Linked DNA regions of Astyanax mexicanus. The main gene of each other region encodes a partner of the protein of the gene in region 2 in a complex. Links are inferred from orthologs where the notes say so. Each region holds a gene or a part of one and is shown on either strand. Other genes may lie near its edges.

The links.
Region 1: ik (region 2) and zmat2 share a complex: the UniProt entries of both Homo sapiens proteins name them as parts of the spliceosome B complex. The link is inferred for Astyanax mexicanus from reciprocal best matches to the Homo sapiens genes IK and ZMAT2.
Region 3: ik (region 2) and prpf38a share a complex: the UniProt entries of both Homo sapiens proteins name them as parts of the spliceosome B complex. The link is inferred for Astyanax mexicanus from reciprocal best matches to the Homo sapiens genes IK and PRPF38A.

Annotation. Positions count from the first base shown.
Region 1 is NC_064424.1:10,757,889-10,769,100, reverse strand, and holds zmat2 (zinc finger matrin-type protein 2), read left to right. Parts: upstream 1-7,067; 5' UTR 7,068-7,151; coding exon 7,152-7,169; intron 7,170-7,612; coding exon 7,613-7,703; intron 7,704-9,454; coding exon 9,455-9,578; intron 9,579-9,965; coding exon 9,966-10,039; intron 10,040-10,145; coding exon 10,146-10,291; intron 10,292-10,380; coding exon 10,381-10,524; 3' UTR 10,525-11,113; downstream 11,114-11,212. Other genes in the region: slbp2 (stem-loop binding protein 2), read right to left, coding at 3,430-3,600, 3,678-3,819, 4,430-4,597, 4,706-4,852, 4,962-5,048, 5,161-5,235, 5,382-5,516, 5,615-5,661. UniProt on the Homo sapiens protein: Involved in pre-mRNA splicing as a component of the spliceosome.
Region 2 is NC_064424.1:33,881,338-33,891,698, forward strand, and holds the start of ik (protein Red), read left to right. Parts: upstream 1-5,619; 5' UTR 5,620-5,754; coding exon 5,755-5,770; intron 5,771-6,382; coding exon 6,383-6,449; intron 6,450-6,595; coding exon 6,596-6,688; intron 6,689-6,955; coding exon 6,956-7,015; intron 7,016-7,098; coding exon 7,099-7,266; intron 7,267-7,729; coding exon 7,730-7,844; intron 7,845-8,706; coding exon 8,707-8,777; intron 8,778-8,881; coding exon 8,882-8,928; intron 8,929-9,235; coding exon 9,236-9,399; intron 9,400-9,515; coding exon 9,516-9,624; intron 9,625-9,714; coding exon 9,715-9,754; intron 9,755-10,204; coding exon 10,205-10,361. Other genes in the region: ndufa2 (NADH dehydrogenase [ubiquinone] 1 alpha subcomplex subunit 2), read right to left, coding at 985-1,076, 3,822-3,928, 4,565-4,662. UniProt on the Homo sapiens protein: Involved in pre-mRNA splicing as a component of the spliceosome. Auxiliary spliceosomal protein that regulates selection of alternative splice sites in a small set of target pre-mRNA species. Required for normal mitotic cell cycle progression.
Region 3 is NC_064412.1:22,006,763-22,017,074, forward strand, and holds prpf38a (pre-mRNA-splicing factor 38A), read left to right. Parts: upstream 1-4,433; 5' UTR 4,434-4,490; coding exon 4,491-4,620; intron 4,621-5,683; coding exon 5,684-5,843; intron 5,844-6,294; coding exon 6,295-6,416; intron 6,417-6,535; coding exon 6,536-6,621; intron 6,622-6,735; coding exon 6,736-6,846; intron 6,847-6,944; coding exon 6,945-7,051; intron 7,052-7,349; coding exon 7,350-7,376; intron 7,377-7,529; coding exon 7,530-7,633; intron 7,634-7,777; coding exon 7,778-7,826; intron 7,827-7,946; coding exon 7,947-7,992; 3' UTR 7,993-8,269; downstream 8,270-10,312. UniProt on the Homo sapiens protein: Involved in pre-mRNA splicing as a component of the spliceosome.

The DNA.
Region 1 (11,212 bases), about 23 Mb from region 2:
AAGATAAGGAAAGATAAATATAAACCAAGTGAGGTATTTTGTATTTTTATTTATTTATTTTTACTTGAAATGCCATTTACACTTTCGTAACATTAAAGCAAATAATAACCGTACAACAATAAACTCAGATTATATAATGCGCCCGCGGAAAACACAATCAGTATATATAAAAAAAAACGTTAACATTTAAGTGCCGTTGTTCAGCGCATGCGCAGAGACGCTGCGTAGCACAAATTGACGGGTAACACAAATCGACAGAACACCGGCCGGTGTTCTGTCGATTTGTGCCCCCCCCCCCTCCTTCATATTTTTAATGTTTTCACGTGTTTTTCATGTGAATTCCTTTTTTTCTCGTCGGCATTTAACAATTGCAGCTTACTAATATTATTGGCTCAAGTGTTACAAACGTAGAAATGACGATTAAAAAATACAAAAACACAATTTAACTATCATATCAATTAGCGTAAGCTCCCCTGATATAGCGTTAGGTTAGGTTGGCTAGTGAATTGGGCCACCCAAAAATCCTAATGATAAGATAACGTTATCTAGGAGCATTTTTGATATTCTGATACGATGCTTTCGCCATATAAGCCAGATAATACAAATAACTAACCAGGTTAGCGTTTTTTAGAACTTAAGCTTTAAAATAGCTAGCTAGTTAGATAAAAAATATATAACAACAGTAATTAATTAACTAGCACGTTTTAACGGGATGGCACAAAACGACGGAACACCAAGCTAGTCGCTCGGTCCGTCACAGAGCACACAACTGAAGCTAGCTAAATAGCTAACGCTAGCTACCGTAGATTCTTAATGAGTGTCTGCGTATGAGGATAAATATAGCTAGCGTTAGCTAACGTTAACGATACATAGCTAGCTAGCTTATCAAAATAGACAACACTAATTATCAAGCTAGTTAGGTTAGCTATACTGTGTCTATTTAGTTAGCTAGCTAGCTAGCTACCCTAGGTTTACTGACGATGGATGAACTGGTGTTCCTCAAAATAGCATCATATCAATGGAAGGCTATCCAGCTAGCCGAGAAAGACATCCTAGCCATAACCTAGCCCGTGATGAGCATTATTAGCTAACGTTATGTTGGCTGGGTGCTTGGCTACCTAGAAAGCAGCACAGGCCCACTAACGCCTGCAACCCTAGCTAAATCAGGACATACAGCGACGGCTTGGATAGACTAGCGTAGCTTAGCTTAACCAGTTGAGGCCAATAATGCAAAGCAATACATTTTACAATGCAAAAACACCGTGCACGATAAATAAATATCTAACTTATCTACCACACGATCGATTATCTTAATAGGGCTGATTGAACAGCCTGGCGTGTGTAATTCTGATAATAATTGATTGATATTTTAGCCACACAATAACACACATACATATACATATACAGCTGAAGACATGGAGGACATTTAACGATTCTGACTTACCTCGCCGCCGACGGAGACCAGCACAGCCGTCTCACACACAGGGCCCGTGGAGCCTAGCTGTTAGCTAACTAGCTAACCTAGCAAGTTGCTAGCCAGCTAACGTTGGTCTACCATTGCCTAGCTGCACAAGATCAAACAATTCAGACCAACAACTAGCTACGCTAGCCAGCTAGCTAGCGAACTAGCGGGCTACCCGTCCAGGGTACCCATGGCGTAACGTTAGCTATTGTCAATCCCCGTTCTCTACACCTAACACCAGCATACCGTTAAATCAACGTTGAAGACCCGCCGCACGCCGACGCGAACCACCCCCGCGAGCGGAGTGTGAGGAGCGATCTAACACAACACGAATATCTGCTATAAATTCGACATTTCACCGCCTTCCCATCGTCTCCCACTAGGAAAATAAGAACGCCCGTAGAAATCCAGTGGCTTCCATCTGCAGAGCCTCCAGCCCCCCCGCCCCCGCCGAAACACACCATGCAGACCCCCGTCCACGCCCTCTAGTGTTCCTCTATCAGGTAGCAGCAGCAGCACCACCACCACAGACAGTACACTGATAACAAGCAAGAGAGAGAACATTGATTTAACGTTAAAATATATTTTTTTTCGTTGCATTACATTAGCTTTTTGATGGGAAAAGACAACCTTTAAACAATCTTTTATTTAACACAGCCTAATTTTCATTGGTTAGTGTTTAACCCCTTAACATGCCTACAGGCTTCATTTATAAGTGTAATAAATAAATCTTATTATCTGCAGATTTAAAAATAGATGTACAAACTAGACAACCATAATGAAACTAAAGGTTTGAAGGACAAACTGTTCGATTTGCATTTTTAGTAAAATATTGAATTTAAAATAAAGTTCAGGAAAGAGACAACTTTATGATTTTATTTATTATATTTTGACATTAGCAGATTTACTTAAATATTTTCAATTACAATTATGTTTTTCAATAATGTTCCTTATCAAACATAAACGTTTTTCATGTGACGCTTGAATAGAAATCCTCAATATTTAGTGTTGTAATGTCAGGCAGACAATTGGCAAAAATCCTGGCCTGTGAAGGGGTTAAACTGTAACATTGATGACATTTTTATTGATTTATATTTAAATGTTTGACAGTGGTTGGGGCTTTGAATCTACACTGCAAAAACACAGTCCAGTGGGAAATAAATGCCATTAAGGACAAAAGCTTAGGCCGTGCCACAGGGTCCTATATTAACACACTTTTCTAAAAAAAATAATGGCTATATATGTTATGTTAAAATGTTAATTTTGATACATTTAGGATGCACCAGGGTCCCTGTTTCAGCCGTATATATGCCCATTGAAAATTAATTTTAGTACAATGTAAATAGATTAAAAGGGAAAAAAAGGGCTTGTAGAAAGTGCTAAATAAAGTTAATTTGACTATCGTCTGTCAAACTGAAAACACTGAAGGACACTACTGCTAGTTTTTCACCTTTTAAACTTTTGTGTACCAATGGTTGCTCCCCCACCCCTTGGCCCTCTTGACTTTATGAATTACCAAGGCAAACATTTAACATATCTTTATTGGTTTTGCTTTCCACTACTTTTAAAGTCATACAAAAATACTCAAATTTCAAAACAAGGCTAACAATCTTCCCCCAAACAACCTGACTACAGTGAAACAGGGAGACGAGGAAAACTCACAAAATCAAAACAGCAAAAAAAGTGCCTTTAGGAAAAGAAGTGTCTATACTAGTGAGGGAATATCCAGTGAAGGAACAAAACACGAGCAAGTAGTGAAAAAAAGAAAAGTGCAAATTTTAGTGGTTTCAACAGTTAAGTGATCTGAATTACAGGGGTTTTGATGCAAAACTACCATCAGCGTGCTCAGTGTTCAACATTAAGATCCAAGTACATGTTTGATCATATCTTAGACGCCATTCCTGGGTCATTATTTATTCCTGGAAAACAAGCTTTACACATGGTCTACACAAGACATCATGGTACAATCAGTAAAATCGCCAAAGTGGCTGTTCACTCTCCGGGGCAACTTCGCTGCGTGCATGGTCAGTCTCCAAGAGAAATCGCAGCCATCCAAGGACATTCTCCTCAGCAGTTAGATGACTATTAAAGGAATAGCCCAGTCCAGAAGTCTGGCTTTGCTGGCCTGTTAAATCAGCCTGTAGGTAAATAAGAACATGCATCAGGACACCCTATTCATACAAACACAATAAATCAACTTTTCTGTTCTACTTACTTGAGGAGCAAGAGGCTTCCAGAAGCCATTGCCTAAGCCTTCAGTAGGTTGAGAAAGTACAGAAGCACTTGAGTCAGATACATCCAACGTCCTTTCCTTTTCTTCTCCCAGCTCAGTATTCATTTTCTCAAGCAGGTCCTGCCTAAGAGAATTAGCATGCAACAGGTTAACCTTAAAACTCCTTAAAAAGGTCTTATGCTGTATTCCATTTGAACCAAAGAAGAATTAGCTAGATCCAATTAGGAAATGTTCACAGATCAGATTTATTTATTAGAAGTGTTCAGAGAACCCCACTAACCAAGAATTCATAATCCAAGATGGCTGCAATGCAAGTCAAGAGTAATAAAAGCGTCGTATTAAATAGTTTATCACCAAGTCTATACATTAGCGTCTCATAAAATCAGTTGCTGTACTGTCCGTATTCCATCTATCTACAGACATGATTTCATGGTACTCAAATTAAATACTGCACAATGCCAACCTGGGACAATGTTAATGATAAATCAAACCAGTTGCAGTAAACTCCAAAGGCTATAGCTGACTTTTTTTTTTTTTTTTTTTTAAATAGTGAAACATTATCTAAAATATTTTATGGCATACTGGAATGCTCCAATCTGGTGTCAAGTAATTCTCAATTCAAACAGCTGAGGTAAATGGAACACAGCACAAGTCTTCAAACATAAGACTACATCTGCAGAATGTTTATGATCTAAATTTAACATCACACAATACAATACCAGTCCTACACATACAGTTGATCAACTGGGTCTTGTCCTTCATTGTTCCCTTGGGAAGTCAAAGGTGGGTCCCAAGCATGTAGCGCTCTCCGCCAAAGCCTGACTTGCATGTCCCAAGACCGTCGGCTGTACTTGCGGTATTTGTTTGGAGTGGAAGGGTGAAACCCAGGGATGCGAAGGCGCCTAAAAGTTATAGCACAGAGAAAAAAAAAGCTAGTAATAAGTAAAAAAACAAGCCTAATTATCTTAAGGCTAGTAAAAAGGTATGTAGGTCTGTAGGTCTGTTCTTACTTTGGAACGTGCTTCAGATAGTTCTGGTAGCCACAGGTGTTCTTTCCATACTGAATTTGCTTCTGTCTGCGCTTCAAAACCGACTCGTTGGTCTCAAAATGAGATGGGTCCATATTTTGAGTACACCATCGGAGTCTTGACGGTGACCTAAGAAGGTTTGTTAGCTTTGATAACCACAGAGAAATCCACATCCTAGAACAGGCTTCACAATATTAGTCACCCTAACAAATTGCACATTTCAAAGTCTGCACCTGACCTCTTGATATCATCTAGATCCTCTGTCCCAACAGCCACATTAGCTGTAGATATCTTGAGAATGCACCTCTCAAGAATAGAGGATCTACTTAGAGTTGTAAAGAGGGAAAAAAAAAATAAAAATTAGCACTGAGGCCATGCATAATCAAGACATAATTCACAATATTCTTAATTATAGAGCTGATAAATAAAGTCAAGACCTGCGAGGCTTGGACATGATGGAGGAGGTGGTATTCCTTTCTTCACTTACAGAGGACGGCCTTGGGGTTCTAGAGCTATTCAAATGCACAGCAATACAGAAAAACAAACAGATTTTATAATTAACCACAAAATACAAAGCATTACAATGTCCGTTCAAAACAAAAGTGCTTGGTGCTCATTTGTTCTTTAAAACAAACGGCTTAAATCTTTACCTTCTTACCTGACCAGGCTGTCATACACCGAGCTGCAACCTGGGAGAAGCCATGGCTCTGGACTGCCTGGCTCAAGAGGTGGTCTGACCCTCAAATCATGAGGTAACTCTGGAATGTTTGGCCACAAGGGAAGAGACAGGCCCCTAAAATTAAATTAAACAAAAGGAAACCAGATTAAGATTAAATCCCAAAGTGTTCTACACTCAGCAACAACACACAGAAGTAAGTAAGTCTACTGGACCTTGACTCCAAAGGGCTATGAAGTGCAGTTTCAATCCGTGCTGTCATGCTGACTCTGCCACCTAGTATGCCGCATAGTTTGAAAGACCTTTAAATCAGCATCAGGTGGATAAGGGGCGGGGCTACACAATTAACCCACGTGTTACGTAGCCGGTCAAATTGACCCCTTTTAAAGTAAAGTTAAAAAAAAAAAAAAATACAGGCACAAGCACGGTGTTTGGATCATATACAATATTGACTAGAGCCCACAAAAGGAAAAATAAATTAAAGTAAACACTTTTTTTTTTCATCAAAATAGAGGCACAATATAGTTGTACTAAAAAAGTTAATTATAATAAATTAACCATATTTTACTTGAAAACCAAAATTCCAAATTTGATTACACTAAATATTGTTCACATTAAATAGGTAATATGTTAAAAGCCAATGTTTCTTGGAAAAACGCACTGGCTCAATCTGGGTTAATATTACTAACATAACAGTATTAAAGACAGCATAGCCAGCAGAAGCTCTGAAAATTAATATCTGTTAATGTTTAACTTAATATACACATGAAGGATTATACATATTATACATATCATCAAGTAGTCGTCTGTACTAATTGTAATAATTGATCACAAACAAATGTTGTTGTATTCACGTTTTGTTTTTCTAAACAATATTTTATCCAATTATGTATTCCACTTACATTGTTTTATCATGCTATTGTGAAGTCAAAAGAAACTGCTCCTTTAAGTAGCAGTGTTTAGTAGTATCTTGTATTCCCATTATAATAACCTGAACTGAATTTGTATTGGTGCATTTTTTTGTAAGGATGTTGTTTATTTTAAATAGATAAACGGTGCACAAAATAGTAACACATATCCATAACTTAAATGGAAATCGTATTTGATAATTACTGACATATTTAAAGAATATAATTTTTTGAAATGACAATATTGAAAATAGGCATGTTTATTTGTATGTTTGTTCACATATATAGCATTGAACTGTATTTAAGGCTCCATACACACAGTGTGGACTGCAGTAGGTGAAGAAAAAAATAATTTATTTCCCAAACTATTATTAATTGCAATCATAGTCTTACAAGGCTATAAAAGTGTTGCTTTTATCCTTTATCACAATCATTTCTTGGATGGTATATTGTCCACAAAAAATGTCAATGCCTATGAAAAAAACTAACATTTTTTTTACATTTTATTTTATGTTGTATATATTGTGTTCTTTTTGCATACTAATTGGAAACATGCAGCCACGTTTTTCATTCTCCTGTACATCTGTACTTATTTGATTTGTATGTTCTTTCTGAATGGGTGGGTGTTTGCCTGTTACTTGTTTATAGTATTCTTATTTATTTTATTGTATTTATTTATTTTACCTTTTTCAGCAAACCGTGTGTGAGAAGTTGTGTAGATTGAAATAAATGAGACAAATTAACACAGAACTCACCTTCACTTTAATCACACAGTTCCCACAGAGCTTTTATTTTGCCTTGTTGTTTTTCTCCAGACAGGAAGAAGATCTCGTTGGTCAGCAACATGGCGTCAGGCAGTGGGGTGAGTTATATTGTTTTTTTTTTTTTATTAGTTATATTAATGTCTGCAAGGTTATATCTGTTTTAATGTATTCAGTAAATGCTGTAATTGATAGACTGTAACATAGCCGGCTGAATAAACTATAAACTACAACGTTACCGTGCTAAAACACGCTCCTGTGGCCATTAGCTTAGGTAGCTAGCTAGCTAAGCTAACTAAACATTTGTCAGTGTTCAGTGAAAATTTAATGATTTATCCAACAACAGTTATAGATCTGTAATGCTGTTAAAGGAGCTGCTGACAATAACTGAATATCTAAACCATATATGTTGTAGGCGTTATATAGCTGGCATGTTAGACAACAGGTTATTGTCACGGTGTTTTATTGTTTATGGATACCCAGCTAGCCGTGGCTACCCTAACTAATTAGCGAATAATCTCCAAATCTCTTTTTTTTTTTGTAGTCTAAGAACGATTTTAGGCGCAAGTGGGACAAAGATGAGTATGAACAGCTGGCACAGAAGCGTCTCACGGAGGAAAGAGAGAAAAAAGATGGTGAGTACATTCATATAGTTTATATAGTGCACTACTGTACTGTACTATATTCACACTTTCACTGCCTATTGTTTGGAAATCCTGATATGACATGGTATATATATATATATATATATATATATATATATATATATATATATATATATATATATATATATACCATATTTTCTTTACATAAAAAATGGTGAGCACTAGGAAGTATGTTCACTGGTCTGTGCATGGCTTCACAGACTGCTACATTGCGCTGTGCTGTGTTACTTGGTGTGTGGTGAGCACTAGATACTAAGTGGTAAGCACCAGATAGTATGTTCACTGGTCTGTACAGGTCTGCACATTGCGCTTTGCTGTTCCACTTAGCCACTTTACCAAAAGTGGGGACGATAAAAAAGTGTCTACCTTCTATCGTCTCTATCGTTTCTACAGTAATTTCATCAATTATTCATGCAAATATATAAAGTAGGCTACGATGAAATGTATTAGCGTGGTCACTTTGCATAAACTCTGTTTATATAAGTGATAAAGTAATCTTCACAAAAAAGCTTCATAATGTGGTTTTGTGACACAACGCTGCTTTACGTTATTTGACGGAAATGCACAGACACCGGTTTGCGACATGCTTTACGTTTTTAAACTCATGAGAGCTGAACAATGGAGACGCATTGTTCTTTTTAAAGAATTAGCTACTGCATCTACCTCATCTGTTTTCATTCGATACATATATATTGCTGCAATAAAAGGTAGGAATTCTCGTTTGTGAAAGTTTGTTTTAATGTCACTTTGAAATAAAGTTTTTTCGAAGAATAACTGAAAACATACTTAAATGTAGTATATCATAATATATATCGTTATTGTGATATAAAAAAATTCATATTGTGATAATGATTTTTCCCATATCGCCCAGCACTACTTGTACAGTTACTTACATTGTTCTCTCACTGGACTTGCTGTTTTTATTCTGGAATGCCAATTACGCATACTTCATATGTGTAGACACTAACCCTACTTGCCACCTTGTTTATCTCATATCTTATAATGTACCTTATAAAACCAAAGAGATGCTGTGTTTTAGCTAGCCCACAGGTTTCTAAATAAAATATTAAAATTAAATTGAAATCCTCTCTGTTTAACCTTAGAACCTGTCTAGTTTACTTTGCAGTAGTGATGGCAAAAGTGGGTCTTTTGGGAGTTTGAATGAAATTAACCGATTGATTCGGGGAAAAAAAGATTCAGCCTTGTGAGTCCTGGGGGATAAATATGCCAGTAGAAGATTCATCACTACTTAAATATGCCTTTCCTAACTGTAAATTTCATTACAGAGAGTGTAAAAAATCCTTTAAATTATGTTATGTGCAGCAACAATTATAATAATTAATGTAGGTCTAAAGTAATTTTCTATGTATTAAGGAGTATTTGAGTAGAATTTTTTAAGAATTTACCACTCCTGGTGCTTTTTACCCATGAGTCAATACATGATGAATACTGTATATCATAGGATTGTCTTTCAATACAGATATAACAATTTGCCATGTCACCCAGGTCTCTCAGTGCATGATTATGTACACCAACGCTGGTGGCTTTTATACTGTTCATATCAATATCGTAATTATATCATACCAAAATTAAGAATTTTGCTCTTGTTTTATTGTATTAAATCTGATGCACAGATTTATAATTATATAAATAATTATTTGCCAGTATTGTTATGATTCTGTTATTGTGCATCACAAAACTCTATGAACGTTTTTTTACAGGCAAACCTATGCCACCAGTCAAGCGGGAGCTCCTCAGGCACAGAGACTACAAGGTTGATCTGGAGTCTAAACTGGGGAAGACAATTGTCATCACTAAAACTACACCTCAGGCTGAGATGGGCGGGTGAGTATCTAATGCAATTCCCGCGATTCCAACTGAATGTGAATAAGACTACTTTTAAAGAATTTGCATTAAACATCCAGAATCAGTCAATTTTTACTAAGAGAGAAAAAATGGAAAGTGCTGGCCTTTATTCCTTAGGAAGAATAAGGTAAATTTGGTAACATTTAACTATATTGCATAAACAGAACTGTCCCAAATCGACAATTTAAACAATAATTCTACATTATATATGACATGGTGAGGGACTGTCAGGAGATGCTGCTGCTGCTGATGTTGCCATTATATCTTTATTTTTTGTTCATTTTGTAGAATTTAGTTTTCTGGAAGCAAATATATTTTAAACAGAAATATTTGGTCTTATTGGTGTTTTCATACTTTTTTATGTAGATACTACTGCAATGTTTGCGATTGTGTTGTGAAAGATTCCATCAACTTTTTGGATCATATCAATGGCAAGAAACGTGAGTTTCTTTTTATTTCTTTGATTTGCTGTTTCAGAAAAATGTAAAAATAAAAATTGTATATATTATATAAAAACATTTTTCTCACTTTGTCTCACTAATATAGACCAGAGAAACCTTGGAATGTCGATGCGAGTGGAACGGTCCTCATTGGATCAGGTTAAAAAACGCTTTGAAGTAAATAAGAAAAAAATGGAGGAAAAACAGAAGGAGTATGATTTTGAGGAAAGATTGAAGGAATTACGAGAAGAGGTACAGAATTTGATTTATAAACATGTTTTGCTTTGCCTACAATAAATGTATTTTGTACATTTGGTTAATATTTTGATTTATTTATTCAGGAGGAAAAAGCAAAGGCATATAAAAAAGAGAAGCTAAAAGAAAAGAAGAGAAAAGCAGAGGAAGACCTGAATTTTGAAGAGGATGATGAAATGGCTGCTGTAATGGGATTCTCAGGGTTTGGGTCCTCCAAGAAGAGCCACTGATTCCCACCTTATACATATCCTTGCTTAAGCCTTTACAGTTCTTACAGAGTGGAGAACTATTCAACTATCAACAGACTGGAAGAACCCTTCCTTGACTGGACTACATTGGGTTTTTTTTATGTCAACTATCACAAATTCCATGAGCAAAGACGAAAACAACAATTAATCAAAATGTTTTCCACCTGTTACTTGTTTTATTACAGATTCATATTTGGAATTAAAATACGGGTGGAGCAGTTTGAGTTGAATGTTGTTAGTTTGATGCTTGTTGTAAATATGATTTTTTTTAAATTCCTCTCACTTGTCCAATTTATTCTGTAGATTTTGAAATATAAGGAAGGGTAAAGGAATGTGGTGTTACAAAAATTAGTGTTTTCATTGACACAAACTTGTCTTTCAGATCTGCAAGAGATGATTGAGGGTGTAGTTGCATCAGAAATACCCAAGCATAGAATAAAGGCAAGTTTTGTGTCAGGGCTGTATTGTGTTTTTTTTTGTTGTTTTTTTTATCCAACTCAAACATGTTCTTGCAAATAAACTGTATTATATTATTTTAAAAGAAATGTGCTTTAATTAAATTTTAAACAGCCTTGTTTCATTTAATTAACATTTCACACAAGCATTTACATTTTCAGGGCCTTTTTATAAATAGTAGTGACTGTCCATCCACGAAAATAGTTTAACTGTT
Region 2 (10,361 bases):
TCGTTCAGTTTTGGGCCTCCCAGCCAATACTATAACAAAAACAAAAGAAAAAAACCTTAAGGTTCCTGAAAAACCATGAGTCCTGGTCTTAAACCGGCAACCTTGGAAAAAAGAGCGAATCCAACTAACACAGAGTGTAACAAATGAAATAGAACTCTGGTCAAGAAATAGACTTAAAACTAAAAGTGGGACAACTGTTAGAATCACAGTTAGAACTGAAATTTGGATTAGGGTTAGAATCAGAAGTGAATTTGAAATCAACAACGAGACTTAAAGACAGAATCAAAAAATTGCGAGGGACAGTTGTAATCATAATCAGAGAGATCAAACACACTGTCAGGAACACTCTGAAGTTCTGCGTAAAAGACGTCATCTCCCTCGCTCTTTCTCTGCAGTGTTTATAGCTCTCTTGGTCAGGAGAGGGTCAAGTTCCAGCTGTCTAACATCTGCAGAGCTTTCAGATAAACAGCTTTTACAGCCGTTTCTCTCTCTTTAAACTGAAGCGATTCTGCAGTAGCAGAGAGAAAATGCATATCTATCCGTGTAACTTTCTACCTATCTTGTCTGTATCGCTATCAGTCCTTACTGATAGTCACTGTTCTACACCTGCAATTTACAGCACAGCCAGCAGATGGAGAATTCCTGCAGTAATCAAACAGATTACACTTAAGATTCCTGAATCCACTTAAATGTCATGACGTAGTGCAGTCACTCACTAAACACACATACATATTTACATTTTAACAAACATTATCATAGGTCCAGACTTTAAGGTGTGAGAATGCCCTAGATTTTTTTTTTTTTTTTTTTACAAGACATGGGATAGCTGTACTTTGTGCAACAATCCTTACTTTGTTTATAACAGTAGAGCATACCTTGTGAGACAAAAAAACACAGACTGAGCTTATGGAATTAAACACTATAATTTATTCTGGCAAAAAATTACATTTTTACACACAATACAAACAAATATGCAGAGTAAGATCATGGCTTTAAGTTGACTGCTTTCTCAAGCTCCTTGGCCACCTGTTCTGCGTTCATATTATCCAGAGCAAAGCTGCGTTCTTTCCCCAAACCTGGAACAGAAAAACAGAAAACCATGGTCAGAGCTTCAGTTCTACACTGTATACTAACACCACTTTTAACACAGCCCACAGGAACAGCATACAATACAGGGCGATTTGTTGTACCTTGGGCTAATACTAATTCCTTTCAATGTACATTTATACCTAGAGCAATTACTGCATGGAACAAGGTGCAACAACTCTCATGACTAAATCTAAGATCATCTTTAAAACACAGGTCAAAATATTAGAGAATTAAGTTATATTTAGTTGGGTATTCATTTATTATTGCAAACTGTGTGTGACAATGTCAATATTTATATATTGTGTGTTCTATTGGTGTTTTCCTTATTTAAGCTCTGTAGTAGTACTTTAATGATGAAACTTTGCAACATTGATGGAATTAATATTATTTTAAATAAATACGATAATAGTGACTAACCTGACATTTTGTACCAATCTGTGGATTTTATTGTTTATAGACTACAGTGTTATTTAATATAGCTATCAAACCATAAAAAGTGCATAGCAATTAAGTAGTTAATGTATTTATGAGCACGTTTTTTCCACATAAGCTCATTCTTTGCATTCTTGGTACAAAGAAACACACAATTTGTCCATAGGATGAGCATCAGTATCACTGGAGAGCAGCTCATCACCTCCAGACTCTGCTAGCTACTGGTCAGGGAATGCTGCACAGACCAGGTCATGAGATCAAACTTTCAAAACATAGGGCAGTATAGAGATGTATGACTAAATATATTCATTAAAAAATTAAAATCTATACATTCATTATGGATTCAAATTAATTCCTGTCAGACTATATTACAACACACAACATATTCATACTGCATTAGACTGTAGGACTGTGAATTGATACTGTATTAGACTGTTAAAAATAATGTTATAAAAATTCACAGTCAGAAGCATGATGAAAAAAAAAACACTTGTTTCCTGACTAAAAACTACACACAATAAAGATTCATAGTGCATTTAGACTGTATGACTACAGATTCACACTGCATTAAAATCACTTACTTAAACTGAAAAATGACACACACATGTTCCAAATTCATACTGGATTAGACAATAGGACTACAGATTCTTAGTGGATAACACACAAGTAACAAATGCCTATTTCACATTCATACCGGATTAGACTACTGGTCAGACTATAAAAAACTAGGGGTAATCTCGATTCAGATGTGGACAATCCTGAATTGATTCACAAACAATAAGAATCAATTTTCTAGACATAAGATATGATTGAAAACAAAATGACAGGACTCAAAAGGCAGAACTCAGAAGTGTAGCACATCAAACACATAACACAAGATACAGTCACGCAAGAAACCCCACAGGCACAAACTAAGCACTGCCTGGTTTGGGACTATTAGTGTGTACCGGTCAGATACGCTCTTATATCCTCCCAAGTGCAATGCCAAGGGTTGGACAATGAAACTGAAACACCTGGTTTTAGATCACAATAATTTATTGTGGCGACGGACAGTTCTGATGGAAACAGGAGAGTTGAGGTGCCGTGATTTGGGCAGCCGTGGTTTTAGGTTTTTTGGATACAATCCAGGTTAGCACCCAAACATCCCTTTCAGACAGCTTCCTCTTGCATCCACAGTTAATCCTGTTGGATGTGGTTGGTCCTTCTTGGTGGTATGCTGACAATACCCTGGATACTGTGGCTCTTGATACATCACAAAGACTTGCTGTCTTGGTCACAGATGCGCCAGCAAGACGTGCACCAACAATTTGTCCTCTTTTGAACTCTGGTATGTCACTCATAATGTTGTGTGCATTGCAATATTTTGAGCAAAACTGTGCTCTTACCCTGCTAACTGAACCTTCACACTCTGCTCTTACTGGTGCAATGTGCAATTAATGAAGATTGGCCACCAGGCTGCTCCAATTTAGCCATGAACCCTCCCACACTAAAATGACAGATGTTTCAGTTTTATTGTCCAACCCCTGTAGATCTCTTTAGATCTCTCTTCTCTCTGTCTTATTTCTAATTTTATTTTTATAGCTAACAAAAGCACTATATTTTATATCTTAAATGCTTTTAATATCACTAATTTAGCTTCTATTGCACTTTTCTTCATTGTAAATTTTCTATACTCTGTTTTAATCAACATCAAACTAATAATAATAATAATAATAATAATAATAATTATATATATATATATATATATATATATATATATATATATATTTTTTTTTTTTTTTTTTTTTTTTTTTTCCTTTTTAGGGGAAATAATTTAAATTTACTTGCACTTAAATATCAGGTAAGCCACTCCTGGGAATCTATTGTGTGTACATAAGTCACTATGAAGCTTTTTAGAATGTGTAACTTTCTATTTTATATTTAATACTTTTTTATGATTATACTATAATACTTTACTTATATGCAGATCAAACAAAGATCAGCCACAACACATCATCCATCCAAGTACTAATGCAATTAGGAAAAAGAAATCCTGTATAGAACAAAAAGATGCATCAATAATCATTTAATAATCTCATTACAGATCTCTGAATCGTAATCGAATCCAATTGTGTGGTGCCTCGGGATTCCCACCCCTAATAAAAACTATACACACAATTCATACTGGACTAGACTGCAGAACCATCTGCAGAATCAAACTAGAAAAAACATACTGTCAGACTGTAAAACTACACACACTGCAGATTCACATTGGATTAAACTCACTACACATAAATATATAGTGTTTTTTAAGGTCTTACCATATCGGGCCCAAAGCTTGGGCTGAACTCCAGAGCACTCTCTGATGAGAATGGGGAATTCTGGGTTGGCTTTCTTCAGTGGGACGTAGAACTGCTCTACAAACTCCCTGTTCAAAACACATTAAAACAACATAAATAAACAACTAGAAAAGAAAAAGCCGTGAACAAACTTTACATTCACTTCACAAAATTCACTAACAACGCTGAAAATGAGTTTTATTAAATGGTTACATTTTAGTATATTGTATTGATACCTTACCAATGATACCTTACTTTAACTAAATGCTGAAGTTGGGGTTTAAATCTAGAGTCCAAAACCTGGAATTGGATCAATGGTGGAAAGTAAACTTGTTTGGCTAAATGATCTGGGCATAAATACATTTAGCGTTAAACTGTATGGTGAAACACACATAAGTTCCTTTGCGTGTGTTTGGCTATTAGAGCTGTGGAGTCCAACTGGGACTACTGCACCATTCGTTCTATTAATTCCAAAATGTATATAAAATATATAAATACATCTACTAATAATACTTTTAAGATGTAAAATAATAAATGAGTGACCCAACAGCTGTACAGTCCTATAAACCTCATCCTAATACCTTAAATATTGTTATTATTTCGGCCTGATCAATTTCGGGGTTATAAACACCGCCATGCAGACTGCAGTAAACCCGTCTCTCCGAGCGGTGGTAAACCCCCGTAAACCCCTGAAAGCCCCCGTTAGCCCTGCTCGGGTAGTTTACCTGGCCCCCTGGCTCGCAGGTGAGCTCTGGCAGAAGTGCAGGCGGATTTCCCGCAGGTTCCTCGCCAGGTTAGACCCGATCGCCCTCACCGCCGCCATCGCTCTCACCTTCAGCTCCGCTGCTTCTGCTGCTGCAGGAGAAACACAGCGCGCCCGCAGCCGCTACAGCGACACCCAGCGGTCAGAGAGTGAACCGCACCTCGCTCAGGACTTTTAGTTTGAAATTGCCAACGAAACTTACATAATAATAATAATAATAATAATAATAATAATAATAATAATAATAATAATAATAATAATAATAATAATAGGTAACTCAAACATTCGAAGACACAAATAATAGAAACAACACTGACAAAATTATATCTAAAAGCTATTAAAATAAAGCAAACAGAAACATGGATGAATAAAAAATTAAAGTAAAAAAAAAAAAAACACAATAAACCTAAAGGGAATGCGCATAACAGTATAAAGAGTTATTTTCGTAATCCTTACAGTATGATAACACTAAACATTTTAAACAATTGAAAACTCATTAGAAGATGACAAAGATGTTTTAAGTAAAATGTTTAACACTCTTAGTGATCTAACTAACAGCTATTTTTGTTTTTGTTGTTGTTCACAGAGGGACTCAGCGAGTTAACAGTCTGTAAATATATTTTCTGTATTTTCATGTCTGAGATATTACAAGAAATACAAGATATATAAGTAATATTTTAGAACATTTAACTTTGTGCTATGTTACAGGAACATCATCACAATTCCATCGTCATTCTTTCACAATATTAAACGACGTCTCTAAGCAGTGAATGAGAATGAATGAGCAGTCAGTAGACTAAAAATAATAATAATATTGTAATAATTTGTAAGAGGTGAAGATCCATGAGCCAGGACTCATATTACTCATATTTATTACAATACACATTATTTAAAATAAATACATCACGGTTTAGCACTAATAAGGTGGAAATAGTAATTATTGTGGCATTAAAATATGTGATTGAATCGGTGGAATTTGGTGCTATTAGTCCTCCGGTGTGTAGGGGGCGCTGATCGCTGTAGGTGCACTGCAGTAGGCTCTACACAGCAGACCTCTGTAACTCGCAGCCGTGTTGTTTTTGTGACTGTTGGCTAAAAAATCCGCCAAATAAAGGACTTTCTTTACGTTAAGTTTAAACTTTAGCCTCCAGGATGCCTGAACGGGAATGTAAGTGTTTATAATATAGCGCTTTACGCGTTAATCTGGCGTATTTGATGTGTTTTATCGCTGTTAGCCTCAGTGTTAGTCTATCTTCATAAATACGTTGCGTTATTCCAGTATATTGGACTGAATTTGTGTTTTATTAAACAGTGACTGCTCCACTTTAAATGCTTTATAGTGGGACGGGAGGGTTCTGTAACTGTGTGGTCCCCAAATAACTGTGGAATCGTCTAGTGTAAAAAGTGTAAATTGCTGTAAACAAATATGAAACTGCCTTTGTGTTGGAGTCGTCCGTTCCACCTTAAATGATGCGGCAGTTACCTACTGCGACCCAATGTAATTTTTCTAAAATTTAAGATGGAACGGACTTATTTTTATTTTAATAGAGGGACCGCTGTTAATCTACGGTGTATAAAAAAAGAGAGAAAAACACAGAACTCAAGTTTAAACTGTTTAATAAGTTTAACACAAGAAATAAAGCCTAACTTGTGGTGATGTTTGTGGAAGCTACTGAAATGTAATGGTGTTGTATGGCTGATTTATACAGATTTAACTGTAATATGTAAAGTGTAATTTTTGACCGTTTTTATTTATTCACCCTCTTATTCTAATCTTCAGCCGAGCTGTACTCTAACCCTCTGGCCCCGGACGGCCATGAAGTGGAGGACCATCGCTCAGCTCTGCAGTGAGTTTGGATGATTTTTATTTTTAGTTTTACTTGATGTTTACTGCAGTTTTTATACATGGTATTGAACCTTGTGTTCTGTGCTATAGTTACCCCTTTGTTTCCTTAAATGCTGGTAAATCTGATAATCTATGTGTAATATTTAGATCCAAGCTGACCAATGAAGACTTCAGGAAGCTGCTGATGACCCCAAGGGCAGCCCCCTCCTCAGCTCCACCATCAAAGTCCCGTCATCATGAGTATGTACAACTTTGAACACAATTTGGCTTACTGAAATAACAATTAAAAAAAGGGTAAATAGTAGAAGCCATATGGTCCAATGTGTTACCTATAGTGTATTACAGTCTGAATGAGTCAGAATGAGCGTGTGGATCATCTAAACATTTTAAAGTGCCTCCAACGCTTACTGCAGTGAATTACAGTATATATGAATGACAACTTGAATTATATAAACATCATAGTAAGTGTCTGATTGTTGTAACCACATTTCTACTTTAATTTCCCAGAATGCCTCGTGAGTATAATGAGGATGAGGATCCTGCCGCTCGCAGAAGAAAGAAGAAAAGGTGGGCTTAAATTATATAGCGTTTGTGTTTAAATAAAGCTGTTGAAATGGTGCTACTGATCTAACTTGTTATTTTTCCTTTAGTTATTATGCTAAGCTGCGACAGCAGGAGCTGGAGCGAGAGCGGGAGCTGGCGGAGAAGTACCGAGATCGAGCTCGAGAGAGACGAGATGGAGTTAATAAAGATTACGAGGAGACTGAACTCATCAGCACCACTGCCAACTACCGAGCAGTGGGTCCCACCGCAGAGGCGTAAGAGACCAGTCACTCTCAGCACACAGTACAGCAGCATGTTTAAATAGTGTTTTTGTGATTGATTTATTCAGTTATTTTAAAGCGATAGTAAGTAAGAATTTCCTAGTTAGTGTCCTCTCTGGTGAGAATGTGTAATTGCACAGTGTGTGTTGAGAGTAATTTTAATGCAGAGTAATGTAAATTAATTGGTTTTAATAACTTATTTATATTACATTTGTTCATTTTCTCATTAATGAAATACTTAGAAAATATAGAGAGCATTTATATCCAATAAACCTACCAGACCACTTTCTTTTATAGGATGACTTTATTAGACATTGCAAGAATGGTCCTGCCAGAACACTGATAGCATTAATCAGAATATTCTTTCCCTGCCCTTCCCTGTCATACTGCTTTCAGTTTAAAATAAAAGTCTTATGGACTGCTGCTTTAAGGTTCTATATATTTTCTGATTTTACAGGGATAAATCGGCAGCTGAGAAGAGGCGTCAGTTGATCCAGGAGTCTAAGTTTTTGGGTGGTGACATGGAGCACACTCACTTGGTGAAAGGTTTGGATTTCGCGCTGCTGCAGAAGGTAAGCAAAAGCCTAAAAAAGCCTTTTTGAGCCAATAAGCCACAACACGTTGTGTGTCCAGAACTTTCCACAATGCTGTCATTTGGCAACAGGCAAACGAAACCACAAAACATATGCCAGCTCATAAACTTGTGAAGGCATGTTTGGCTTATGCAGTGCTTGTAAATATAATTGTAGTTTTGGAGAGTTTTTCTCTGCAAAATGTGCGGAGAATCATATATTTCTATATATCTTCCTTTTAATGAATCAGTCTGTCTCATTTACTGTTCCATTTTATTGTTTTATTCAACTTGATTTAGATCTACATGTGCATGTAGTGAGCCTACATTTCTAGGTTTGCTGAAAGTTAAAAGTAGAACTGCGAGTGGGAATGATAAAGCATGATGCTTAGAAACGTTCACCTCATGAATTTGTCTGCGAATCAAGTTTTTTTTTCTGCACTTAAAAATGAGAAAAACAAACAGAGCCTACCCCACTGTACAAGATGATGATGTACAAGTAACACCTCTGTGACTCAGTGCAGGCCCGGCCATGTTTAGTAAACTTAGAATTATAAAGTAAATCATTTGTTATGAAGAGATGGCTGGCTGAGTAATACACGGTCAAACTAACAGAAAACCACACATGGCCTAGTATGGGCAATAGTTGGTACCAGGTCACTAATATTGGTTACCTCATTGGACATTCAAGATTAATTTACTACTTAAAAGAATAAGAAATCCATCTTAAGTTGTCATTTTAAGGGCATTTTATTTTTGATTATGACAGTATTTTTTTCTGGAATTAAGCAGACTATTCTAAACAGTGCAGTAATAACTGTGTTTGATGTTTTTTTATTAATAAATAACCTCCTTTTGTTTAGGTGAGAGCTGAGATCACCAGTAAGGAACGAGAGGAAGAGGATATGATAGAGAAAGTGCAGAAGGAAGTGAAGTAAGTGTAAAATCCTGATCGTCTGCTTTAGTACAGATTTATTATTATTACTATTCTTATTTATTTTTATCAGCACTGATTTCTTGTGGTTTTGTGTTTTGTAGGAAAGATGAAGATCCTGAGCAGAAGATCGAGTTTAAGACCCGTCTTGGTGAGTGGGTTACTCAGTATATTATGTTGTGTTTATTATGTTAAAATATTTTCTATGAATAGAATGCATGTACATTATTATGTGGTTTATATTAAAATGGCTATGTGTGATAACTTGGTTCCTTTTTTATATTGCATTTTGTTGCTTTTTCTTCTTATTATTATTATTATTAGATTAATTTATGTGAAGAATTAATTTTTGGAATATTCTAATCAGGGATTATATTCAGAAAGTAGGTAGCTATGTGGCCAAAATAAGGCTTTCTAAAGCTTGACTAAATGTTCTGCTCTGTGATTGGTCCGTGCAGGGCGGAACATTTACCGGATCGTGTTTAAGGGGCGTCAGATGGAGAGGAATGAGTTGTTCTTGCCGGGTCGGATGGCGTATGTGGTGGATCTGGAGGACGAGTACGCAGATACAGATATACCCACCACTCTGATTCGCAGCAAAGCAGACTGCCCCACCATGGAGGTACATACACACACACACACACACAATAATATTAACTGTATCTGACTCAACAGCAATACAACAGTACAACAGCAGCAGTCAGAAAACTAAAGAATCCTGTCTCCCCCCCCCCCCAGGCCCAGACCACCCTGACCACAAACGACATTGTCATCAGTAAGCTGACCCAGATCCTGTCATACCTGCGGCAGGGAACCCGCAACAAGAAGCTGAAGAAGAAAGACAAGGGTAATAACAGTAACATCCTTTGTACCCTATATCAGCGCTTACCTAGAACCTCAGTGGGTCTCATGTATTAACTGATTGTTCTGTGTTTAGGAAAACTGGACGAGCGAAAAGCTCCGGAGGCTGACTTAAAGTGAGTACAGTATACAGTATGTGGAATAATGATTTTAATTATGCTTAAAATGGATGCATCAATTACTTTAGAACCCAGATTATTTATCCAATAATAGTAAAAAAAAAAAAAAAAAAAAAAAAAAACAGTGTTGAGCCTAATTATTAAAAAATGCTGAATATTTTATACTTAACAATAACATTTTAGATGAAATTAAAAAGTTTCAGAGAATCTGTGTTTAGTATCGCTATTCAGACAAAAAATTCATTTTATTGATAAATTTGGGCCAGAAATTGTAGAAGTATATAGAAGTACAATATTTGATTTAAAGTAAATACATACTGCATACCATTTGTACTATTGATAAATACAATAGATGTAAAAGTATGTGTGAATATAAGCTGATTGGTTGTTGGTGTACCTGAGCAGTATGATGATTTACATTGATCGTTGGTGTTTAATTGTCTTTAGTATATTTGAGGATATCGGAGACTACATCCCATCCACATCCAAAGCGACCCGGGAGAAGGAGAAAGAGAAGGAGCGGTACCGGGAGAAGGAGAGGGAGCGGGAGAGGGAGCGTGAGAGAGAGAGAGAACGAGAGAGGGAGGAGGAGAAGAGGCATCAC
Region 3 (10,312 bases), on a different chromosome or scaffold from region 2:
CGTGTCATAACTACATGCTGACTTGCTGTCCTACTGCCTAAACCTTCTCACTTAAAGCCGTAGAAAGCGGTGAATCTGTAACCGAAACAAAAAAGAAAAATAGCGCTTCCTGCCATACAATATATGATCGTTTATATGTGTTCTCATTAGCTGTTAACCTTAATGCTAAACAAAATAGAAGGCTAAATTACTAAACATCGATTCAGACAAGGATGGGTTCTTTCCTGCCTAACTAGGCAACATGTCATACGTTTCAGATACAACCCAGCGGATATTCTTTTTTTCTGCGGGGTCGACGTGTTTGGTCGTGAGTATCATAAACATCCACCTGTTTTTTTATATTTTAATATGGGTTAGACGAAGGTTTATTTAGTATTTTTGTGTTTATTTAAAGTTTCTACATCTGGAAAAAAGATGTATGAAAATGTATGAGCTCTCTCTCCTTTCAATATTAAATCTTTTTTTAGATGCAGATGATCTAAAATGTCAGTCTGGACATCTCTGATGCACATCAAAACAAAAATCGTGTTTACTTCCGACTGGTTATAGGCAAGAAAAGCAAGGTACCAGCCTGAGAGGGGCATTGTAACAGTAACTAAACTAAACTAAACTAAACTAAACTGAGTCTAGTACATCCTTGCAAATATATGTATCCAAGTGTCCTTTTGGGCATCTCCAAGTGCCATTTTGAGCATCTCCAACTGTCCTTTTGGGCATCTCCAAGTGCCATTTTGAGCATCTCCAACTGTCCTTTTGGGCATCTCCAAGTGTCTTTTTGGGCATCACCAAGTGTCACTTAGGGCATCTCCAAGTGTCCTTTTGAGCATCTCCAAGTGTTCTTTTGGGCATCTCCAAGTGCCATTTTGGGCATCTCCAAGTGTCCTTTTGGGCATCTCCAAGTGTCCTTTTGGGCATCTCCGAGTGTCCCTTTGGGCATCTCCAAGTGTCATTTTGAGCATCTTCAAATGTACCTTTGGGCATCTCCAAGTGCCATCTTGGGCATCTCCAAGTGTCCTTTTGGGCATCTCCAAGTGTCCTTTCGGGCATCTCTGAGTGTCCTCTTGAGCATCTTCAGGTGTCCCTTTGGTCATCTCCAAGTGTCCTTTTTGGTGTCTCCAAGTGCCGTTTTGGGCATCTACAGGTGTCCTTTTTGGCATCTCCAAGTGTCCCCTTGAGCATCTCCAAGTGTCTTTTTGATCATCTCCAAGTGCCATTTTGGGCATCTCCAAGTGTCCTTTTGGGTATCTCCAAGTGTGCCTTTGGGCATCTCCAAGTGTCCTTTTGGGCATCTCCAAGTGTCCTTTTGGGCATCTCCAAGTGTCCTTTCGGGCATCTCTGAGTGTCATTTTGGGCATCTACAGGTGTCATTTTGGGCATCTCCAAGTGTCCCATTGAGCATCTCCAAGTGTCTTTTTGGGCATCTCCAAGTGTCCTTTTGGGCATCTCCAAGTGTCCCTTTGGACATCTCCAAGTGTCCTTTTGGACGTCTCCAAGTGTCATTTTGGGTATCTCCAAATGTCCCTTTGACCATCTCCAAGTGTGCCTTTGAGTATCTCCAAGTGTCCTTTTGGGTATCTCCAAGTACCATTTTGGGAATCTTCAAGTGTCATTTTGGGCATCTTCAAGTGTCATTTTGGCCATCTCCAGGTCTCCCTTTGGGCATCTCCAAGTGTCCTTTTGGGCATCTCCAGGTGTCCCTTTGGGCATCTGCAAGTGTCATTTTTGGCATCTCCAATTATCATTTTGGGCATCTCCAAGTGTCCCTTTGGGCATCTCCAAGTGTCCTTTTGGGTGTCTCCAAGTGTCCTTTTGGGTATCTCCAAGTGCCATTTTGAGCATCTCCAAGTGCCATTTTGAGCATCTCCAAATGTCCCTTTGGGCATCTCCAAGTGTGCCTTTGGGCATCTCCAAGTGTCCTTTCGGGCATCTCTGAGTGTCCTTTTGGGCATCTTCAGGTGTCCCTTTGGTCATCTCCAAGTGTCCTTTTCGGTATCTCCAAGTGTCATTTTGGGCATCTACAGGTGTCCTTTTGGGCATCTCCAAGTGTCCCATTGAGCATCTCCAAGTGTCTTTTTGGGCATCTCCAAGTGTCCCTTTGGGCATCTCCAAGTGTCCCTTTGGACATCTCCAAGTGTCCTTTTGGATGTCTCCAAGTGCCATTTTGGACATCTCCAAGTGCCATTTTGGGCATCTCCAAGTGTCATTTTGGGCATCTCCAAATGTCCCTTTGGCCATCTCCAAGTGTGCCTTTGAGTATCTCCAAGTGTCCTTTTGGGTATCTCCAAGTACCATTTTGGGAATCTTCAAATGTCATTTTGAGCATCTCCAAGTGTCCCTTTGGGCATCTTCAAGTGTCATTTTGGCCATCTCCAGGTCTCCCTTTGGGCATCTCCAAGTGTCCTTTTGGGCATCTCCAGGTGTCCCTTTGGGCATCTGCAAGTGTCATTTTTGGCATCTCCAATTATCATTTTGGGCATCTCCAAGTGTCCCTTTGGGCATCTCCAAGTGTCCTTTTGGGTGTCTCCAAGTGTCCTTTTGGGTATCTCCAAGTGCCATTTTGGGGATCTCCAAGTGTCCCATTGAGCATCTCCAAGTGTCTTTTTGGGCATCTCCAAGTGTTCCTTTGGGCATCTCCAAGTGTCCCTTTGGACATCTCCAAGTGTCCTTTTGGATGTCTCCAAGTGTCATTTTGGGCATCTCCAAATGTCCCTTTGGCCATCTCCAAGTGTGCCTTTGAGTATCTCCAAGTGTCCTTTTGGGTATCTCCAAGTGCCATTTTGGGAATCTCCAGGTGTCCCTTTGGGCATCTTCAAGTGTCCTTTTGGGCAGCTCCAAGTGCCATTTTGGGCTTCTCAAAATGTCCCTTTGGGCATCTCCAAGGGTCCTTTTGGGTATCTTCAAGTGCTCCAAGATCCAAGATCTCCAAGATGATGCAACATTATAGCACAGGAGTTTGGTTGTAGCTACTTTTTTTATCACTTTGTTTACGTGCTTAAATCCCTCGTTTCCAAAACTCTAAAAACAATATATAACTTTTAATACCTGAACCTGAAAGTAGTTATTGCATTATTTCATTTTTATTTTACTATAAATGGACCAATATAAATGTTTTTTTTACAATGAATTTTATTAAAGATTAAGAAGGGAGTTTCTCCCTATGTAAAGTCACTGTTTTGTACGTTTTTTGTTTTGACAGTGATTATGGATAGAAATAATTAACTAAAATAGTTTGTCTATAAATACAATGTAATTTATATAAAACTGATACATCGTAGCATTTAAAAAGCTTATGTAAGACTCTCCACATTAGCAGTTCTGCTTGTTACTGGGGAAGCATGTAGCAACACATTACAACACAAAGAGATGCGCAAAAACATACCAGACACGTAAATGTGCCCGCCGTGCGTAAAAGTGTCCGCCGTGCGTAAAAACGCATCCCGGGCGTAAAAGCGCGCGCCGTGCGTAAACGCGCATTCCGTGCGTAAAAACGCATCGCGTGCGTAAAAACGCATCCCGTGCGTAAAAGTGCGCGCCTATCCCGTGCGTAGAAACGCATCCCGTGCGTAAAAGTACATTTTGTGTATAAAAATTAGCGCTGTGGGCAAACACCCAGGGGAGTGCTCACACTAAAATCCCAACATCTATAAGGAAAACAAACCTGACAACTTCTCAGGTGTCGATTATTAATTTATATATGTATATTATTTATGTTAATCTAATTAATGGATCTGTGCTGTTTAAGGTATTGTAAGAACATTTGAGAATATTTCACTAACACTGCTAAAGAACTCCTGCGCTAGATATTTTTAAAGGGTTTATTTACAAATTCAAAGTTTTTCTAAGACTGACTTGTCCATATGGAATCATATATGGTTATTTTACAGCATCAAACCTATATGTCATAGCATGCTATATATTTCTGCACTTTACAAGGGGACTTTTTCAGATCACATCTGAATTGGGAAATTAACATAACAAATTTCATGAATAAAGCAGACGTGAAATCGACGTATCTGTGACCTAGCAAATTAACATGCCAAATTTCCTGCGTAAAACAGATTATTCAACGACGTATGTGGGGTGCGATCGGTCTCTGGAGCATATCATATTAATAAAACCAATTTATAATCAATTCAAATGAGGTTGATGCATTTAAGATGTTCAGACCTTTACAAAAAGGTCTTAGTATGTATGCTTTCAGGGTAGTTACTGAGGTAGAGGATATATAGTACTTATCATACACAGTTAACAGCAAATATTGAGACCATTTTAGTCATTTGAAACACAATCTGTTAGCGTGTGAAGAGAAAGAAAGAAACTAAAGTAATTCCCTCATTTAACATCCACATTTAGCCGTGGGTTTACTCCACACTCCGTGCTGTAGGTGTCAGTACTCCCCACTATCAGTCCAGCAGCAGGGCGCTTTAGAGGAAGTTCAGTGGGTTGTGTTCCGGCGTGAGCGCGTTTCATTCATCAGTTCTCTGGTGGAAATGGCGAACAGAACAGTGAAAGATGCGAACAGTATACACGGAACTAACCCCCAGTACCTGGTGGAGAAAATTATCCGCACTCGAATCTACGAGTCCAAATACTGGAAGGAAGAGTGTTTCGGTCTCACAGGTGAGGAGAAAACAGCGTTAGTTAGCCGGTCTGGTGTTGTGCTAGTTAGCTGTGTAGCCAGCTAGGTTAGCTTAGCTTCCTAAGCTGTGTTTAGGGTTATCTACCTGCAGCTCGCTACTGTATTAATTATCTGTTCTCTTGGGTAGATTTGGCAGTGAACCTTAATTAACTAACGTTAAACCCTGGACATCTTTCTTTTGTATTCATAAATGCGCGCACTAACGCAAGAAAGCTGACATGCTAATAACATATAGCTAGCGTTAGCCATGTTAGCTAAATTAGCTCTATGTATCTCACTAGTACTTTGAGCTATTTTGCTAATTAGGTTTACTAGGTTAGCATTTTAAGTAACTTAAAGCATTAGTTAGATACATAGGGAGCTAGTTTAGTTAACGCTAGCAATCCAGCTCTGAAAAAAACAAGAGACCGCTTAAAAACGACGAGTTTCTTTAATTTTACCAAACTGAAAACCTCTGAAATATAATCAAGAGAAAGATGGATGATCACAAGCCATCAAACCAAGCTGAACTGCTTAAAGTTTTGCACCAGGAGGCTTAAAGTTATCCAAAAGCAGTGTGTACGACTGGTGGAGGAGAACATGCGAAGATTCTTGAAGATGTTTGAAAGCTCTGCATCTTTTTATTTCAGCCATTTCTCATTTTCTGCAAATAAATGCTCTAAATGACAATATTTTTATTTGAAATTTGGGAGATGGTGTCTATAGCTTATAAAATAAAAAACAATGTTCATTTTACTCAAACATATACCTATACATAGCTAAATCAGAGAAACTGATTCAGAAACTGAAGTGGTCTCTTAATTCTTTTCAGAGCTGTAAATGATAAGCCAGTATGTTGCTAGCTAGCTAACCTGCATAATGTAATTTTTAATGGATATTAGACATGCTACATATCTGTTCTATTTTGGATGTAGGTATTGTTAAATTGTTGACGTTTAGAGCATCAGTAGTTTATTATTTTATGTATATTGAGCTTTGAATTTGTTCTGACTCTGGACTCTAATCTTTTTGTTCCTCATGGTCACTGAATATATCAACTTTAAGCTGAGCTTGTTGTGGACAAAGCAATGGAACTGAAGTTTGTCGGAGGAGTGTATGGCGGAAACATCAAACCCACACCTTTCTTATGTCTGACGCTGAAGATGCTCCAGATTCAGCCTGAGAAGGACATCATTGTAGAATTCATCAAGAACGAAGATTTTAAGTATGCATATCTCACCTATATTTATATTTTATCTATCACTGACCTGTCTCCTGAGTTTTTTCCTTATGTGTTAGGTTGTTCCTAGTATTATTTGAGCTTCCTGGTTTTTGCACATAAAGAATATCTTTACAATTTCTTTATTGGAAACTGTAATGACTTCACAAGCGGTCCTACCAGACTTTTTATGTTTTAAAACTAATTTCAGCATTTGGTTGGCTGAGTGGGGTGTGTTACATTTAGGTAAAAATGAATAGAAGAAAATAAAACAGACACATGTGATTAAATTAATGCCCATCATGCACAAATGCATTTGGTTTAAGCAGAATGTTTATTGTTTAAACTATTGGGTTTTGTGTCTATTAGGAAATAAATACAGCTACTATCATTAGAAAACAGAATATCATAGTCTATGCATGCAAGTGCTGAATGTAATTTTTAATGTTTTGTTCAGATATGTCCGCTTGCTTGGAGCAACGTATATGCGCCTGACTGGCACCTCAGTGGACTGTTATAAGTATTTGGAACCGTTGTACAATGACTACAGAAAAATCAAAACACAGAACCGAAATGGAGGTAAGCAGCACATTGAAACTAATACCGCATTGGTTCATAAATGAGAGTAACTATATATAGTAATTCCTTGTAAACCAAGAAAACCTTCTAACGTACTTTATCTTACTCTGTCTTCCCAGAGTTTGAGATAATGCATGTGGACGAGTTTATAGACGAGCTGCTTCATGCCGAGCGAGTGTGTGATGTCATCCTCCCTAGGCTCCAGGTTTGTTTTCTTTTTGTATATAATTTAGAATATTGTTATATGTGAGCAATTATGCAAATTTGGGTTTAAATCTGTTACCCTTTGTTGTACTGAAATTGAGTTCATCTTTTATAGAAGAGGCAAGTCCTGGAGGAAGCTGAGCTTTTAGATCCGCGTATCAGTGCCCTTGAAGAAGACCTGGATGAGGTGGAGTCCAGTGAAGAAGAAGACGAAGAAGAGGAGAAGGTATTACTCTAACAATACTTATCACAATAATATTATTAACAGAGGGGCAAAAAAAAGTTTGGTAATTTTTTTGACTTCAATTTTTTTTTAATTTATAGCCGGAAAGAGTACAGACACCAGAGCCACACAGACGGAGTTACAGAGATATGGATAGACCTCGCAGATCTCCCTCTCCTCGCTACAGACGAAGCCGATCGCCCAGAAGGTTGGTGTTAAGTGAAGATTAAGAAAGTGCCAGCAAACTAGCTAAATAAGCATCCCTAAAAGAGTAACCCCCCCTGAAATGATCAACATGCTGTGTTATGTTAATGGATATAAAGGAATACATGGTTATACTGGAATTATTTCAATCTGATGGTGTATTTATTGAATGCTTTTGAAAGGTGTGTGTGTGTGTTGAGTGGCTGCCACTAGTCTATATGAAAATTGAAGTGCTACCATACAATTTATTATTGTTCTTTTCTTTTTCTTTTTTTTTTCCCTTTTTTTAAACCCTGAAACAGACGAAGCAGATCCCCCAAGAGACGAAGGTACACATACAGTGCAAATCTGTCTTTCTCATTCTTACTTCTGCATGCATGTTAATCATCTGAACTAAACTATAGCAAACCACAGAACATTATACATCATTCATTCTTTTAATACTGAGATTTAAGTGATTGTTATTCTGTTCGTGTTTGCAGCCCATCACCCAGACGTGAGCGAGAACGGGATCGCCACCGCAGCAAGAGTCCCCGCAGACACCGCAGTCGGTCCAGAGACAGGAGGCACCGCTCCAAATCTCCAGGTACAACACATCAGCTCATATTTATGCTCTTATTAGCTGCTTGTAAGTTTTCAGTTGTGAACCTGATTCAGGTTATTTTAAAGTAAGGAAATAATATTAATCTTTTTATTATTTAATAAATTATGTCTGCTTGGTTTAATTTAGGTCATCACAGAAGCCACAGACATCGCAGTCATTCAAAGTCTCCAGAAAGGTAATTGAATTCTATTAGAAATAATTCTGTAAATGTATTCCTGATCAATATAGATATGAAAATAGATTGTATTTGTTTATTCGTCAAGTCCTTATGTTTGAATGTTTGTCTCTTTAACAGCCGCTCAAAGAAGAGTCACAAGAGGAGTCGAAGAGGAAACGAGTGATTTTTCTACATTTTTTTGTAGATTTTTTTTTATGTAATGCTTGTATGGTAATGTGTATATAAAAAAAAATATGATGTGAATCTTTTTCTCAACTGATTGGAGTCACACAAGTTTTTTGATGCTGTTTATTCTTTTAAGTCATTTTGAGTGGAAATATTTTTCATCCCATCAATTGTAGTTCATTATTAAAGTGTTTCAGCAGCCCTCTTGTAATAAACAGTTTATCTACGTGTAAATTATGAAAAGATTTTACTCAAATAAACTGTTGTTACAGTGACGGTACATGTCCATTTTTTTGTAAATAAAATCAAGTGCTAAATACTGTGCAAATAAGGCTCAAATGGGTCAGTCTGTGAGGTATTAGCCTGACCACGTGACTGGGGTCTCCTTTTTTGCATCATGATAAATACATTTTAACAACACATTTACCATGAAGTAATTTGACTAAAAATTGCAGCCCAAGTTATTTTGATAACATCTGTTTTATTGTGAAATGCATCACTTTTGAGGAATGTTTTCTTAATGATCGTGATTGGAACATAATCCCTTACTTCATTTGTAAAATGTGATGAGTTTTGGAATTTGTACCTTGTAGATCAGAGTTTTACAAACTTGAGAAAGGTAAAATTTGGAAAGTTTTAAAAAGTGGGTCACTAAAGATCATTAGCATGATTTGTCAGAAGTGGCTAACACAATACAATCATTTTATGATTTGAAGGCAACTACTTGGCTAATGTAAAGCTTTAAACCATATACTGCCTTTGTCAGAGCAATACTTTAATGGTAATAAATGTATTCATGAATATTGTCCGTGTTAAGGGGTTGTATTTTATGTTCACACAGGATGTTAAACATGCTTGCTAACATCTCTAAAGAGCACCAGAGAAGAAGGGTTGAGCTTTTTTGCTAAGTGGCAAATCTTAAAATATCAGCCACACAATTTGTCACATGCTAACGAGACAGCACAAGTGTTGCTGTTTGTTGTGCCATCTATTTTAATATGGTCCAACAGACATTATAAGATGTGCAATCTGCTTTAATATGTACAGGTTTGAGTGCTGGGTGAAATGTTATTTGGTATGTTGGCTGTTTTAAGTGCAGACACTCGGCACAAAGGGATCCAACTCATTCTATAAATGCACCTGGAAGACTTCTAGGAAAATAAAGTTTGACCAAGTATATAAATAAAACATTTAAAACTATAAATCTCGATGGTTTCCATATTTAGTTAAATCTATGGCCTCCTCCGTGAAATAGAGGTTCTGATTGGTTCTGCCAGCAAATAACTGAGCAATGTAATCTTCTGGTGTTGGTCCACTGTGTTATATCAAGTCTGAAGTCAGTGCAGTGTTTTTCTGGTAAATCTTACAGAACTTTATTCTTCCAACCTTTCTGAAGATGCAGATTTCATTTTCCAGCAGGATTTGGCCCACTACCCACACTGCCAAAAGTACCAATTAGTCTTATATAATACTCTAATTTTCTGCAGCAATGATCTTGACTGTAAGAAACGCTTAGAATAGATCGCTCTGTGTGTAATACATATGAGTTTCACATTTTTAAGGGAATTACTGAAATAAAGTAACTTTTCAAAGATATTTCTTTTTTTTCAGATGCACTAGTATAGACAAAATACGCATAATCTTTATTTTATAGATTTTGGGGGGTCGATTTTGTTTGCCATATACATGAATTTTACGAGGTATTGTTGTGTTACTTACTTTCTTTTTTTCTTTATTTATTAATTGATTGGGTTTAGATATTTTGCAAAACTGCTGCTAAGAATAAGATAAAGGTCTCATGCCTAAACAATGTTTTTAATATTTTATCTACCAGTTGATCAATGACTCATGTCTGTCAAAGTACTTTATATACAGCTCTCGAAAAAATTAAGACACCACTTCAGTTTCTATGTCAGCTTCTCTGATGTTGCTATTTATAGGTATATATTTGAGTAAAATGAACATTGTTATTTTATTTCATAAACTACAGACAGAATTGTCCACAAATTCCAAATAAAATATTGTCATTCAGAGCATTTATTTGCGGAAAATGAGAAATGGCTGAAATAACTAAAAGATTCAGAGCTTTTAGATGTCAAATAATGCAAGGAAAACAAGTTCATATTTTAACGTTTTAAGAGTTAAGAAATAAACATTTGGCGAAATAACCCTGTTTTTTATTCACAGTTTGTATGCATCTTGGCATGTGCTCCTCCACCAGTCTTACACACTGCTTTTGAATAACTTTGCCACTCTTGGTGCAAAAAATTCAAGCAGTTCTGCTTGGTTTTTATGGATGTGATCATGCAACTTCATCT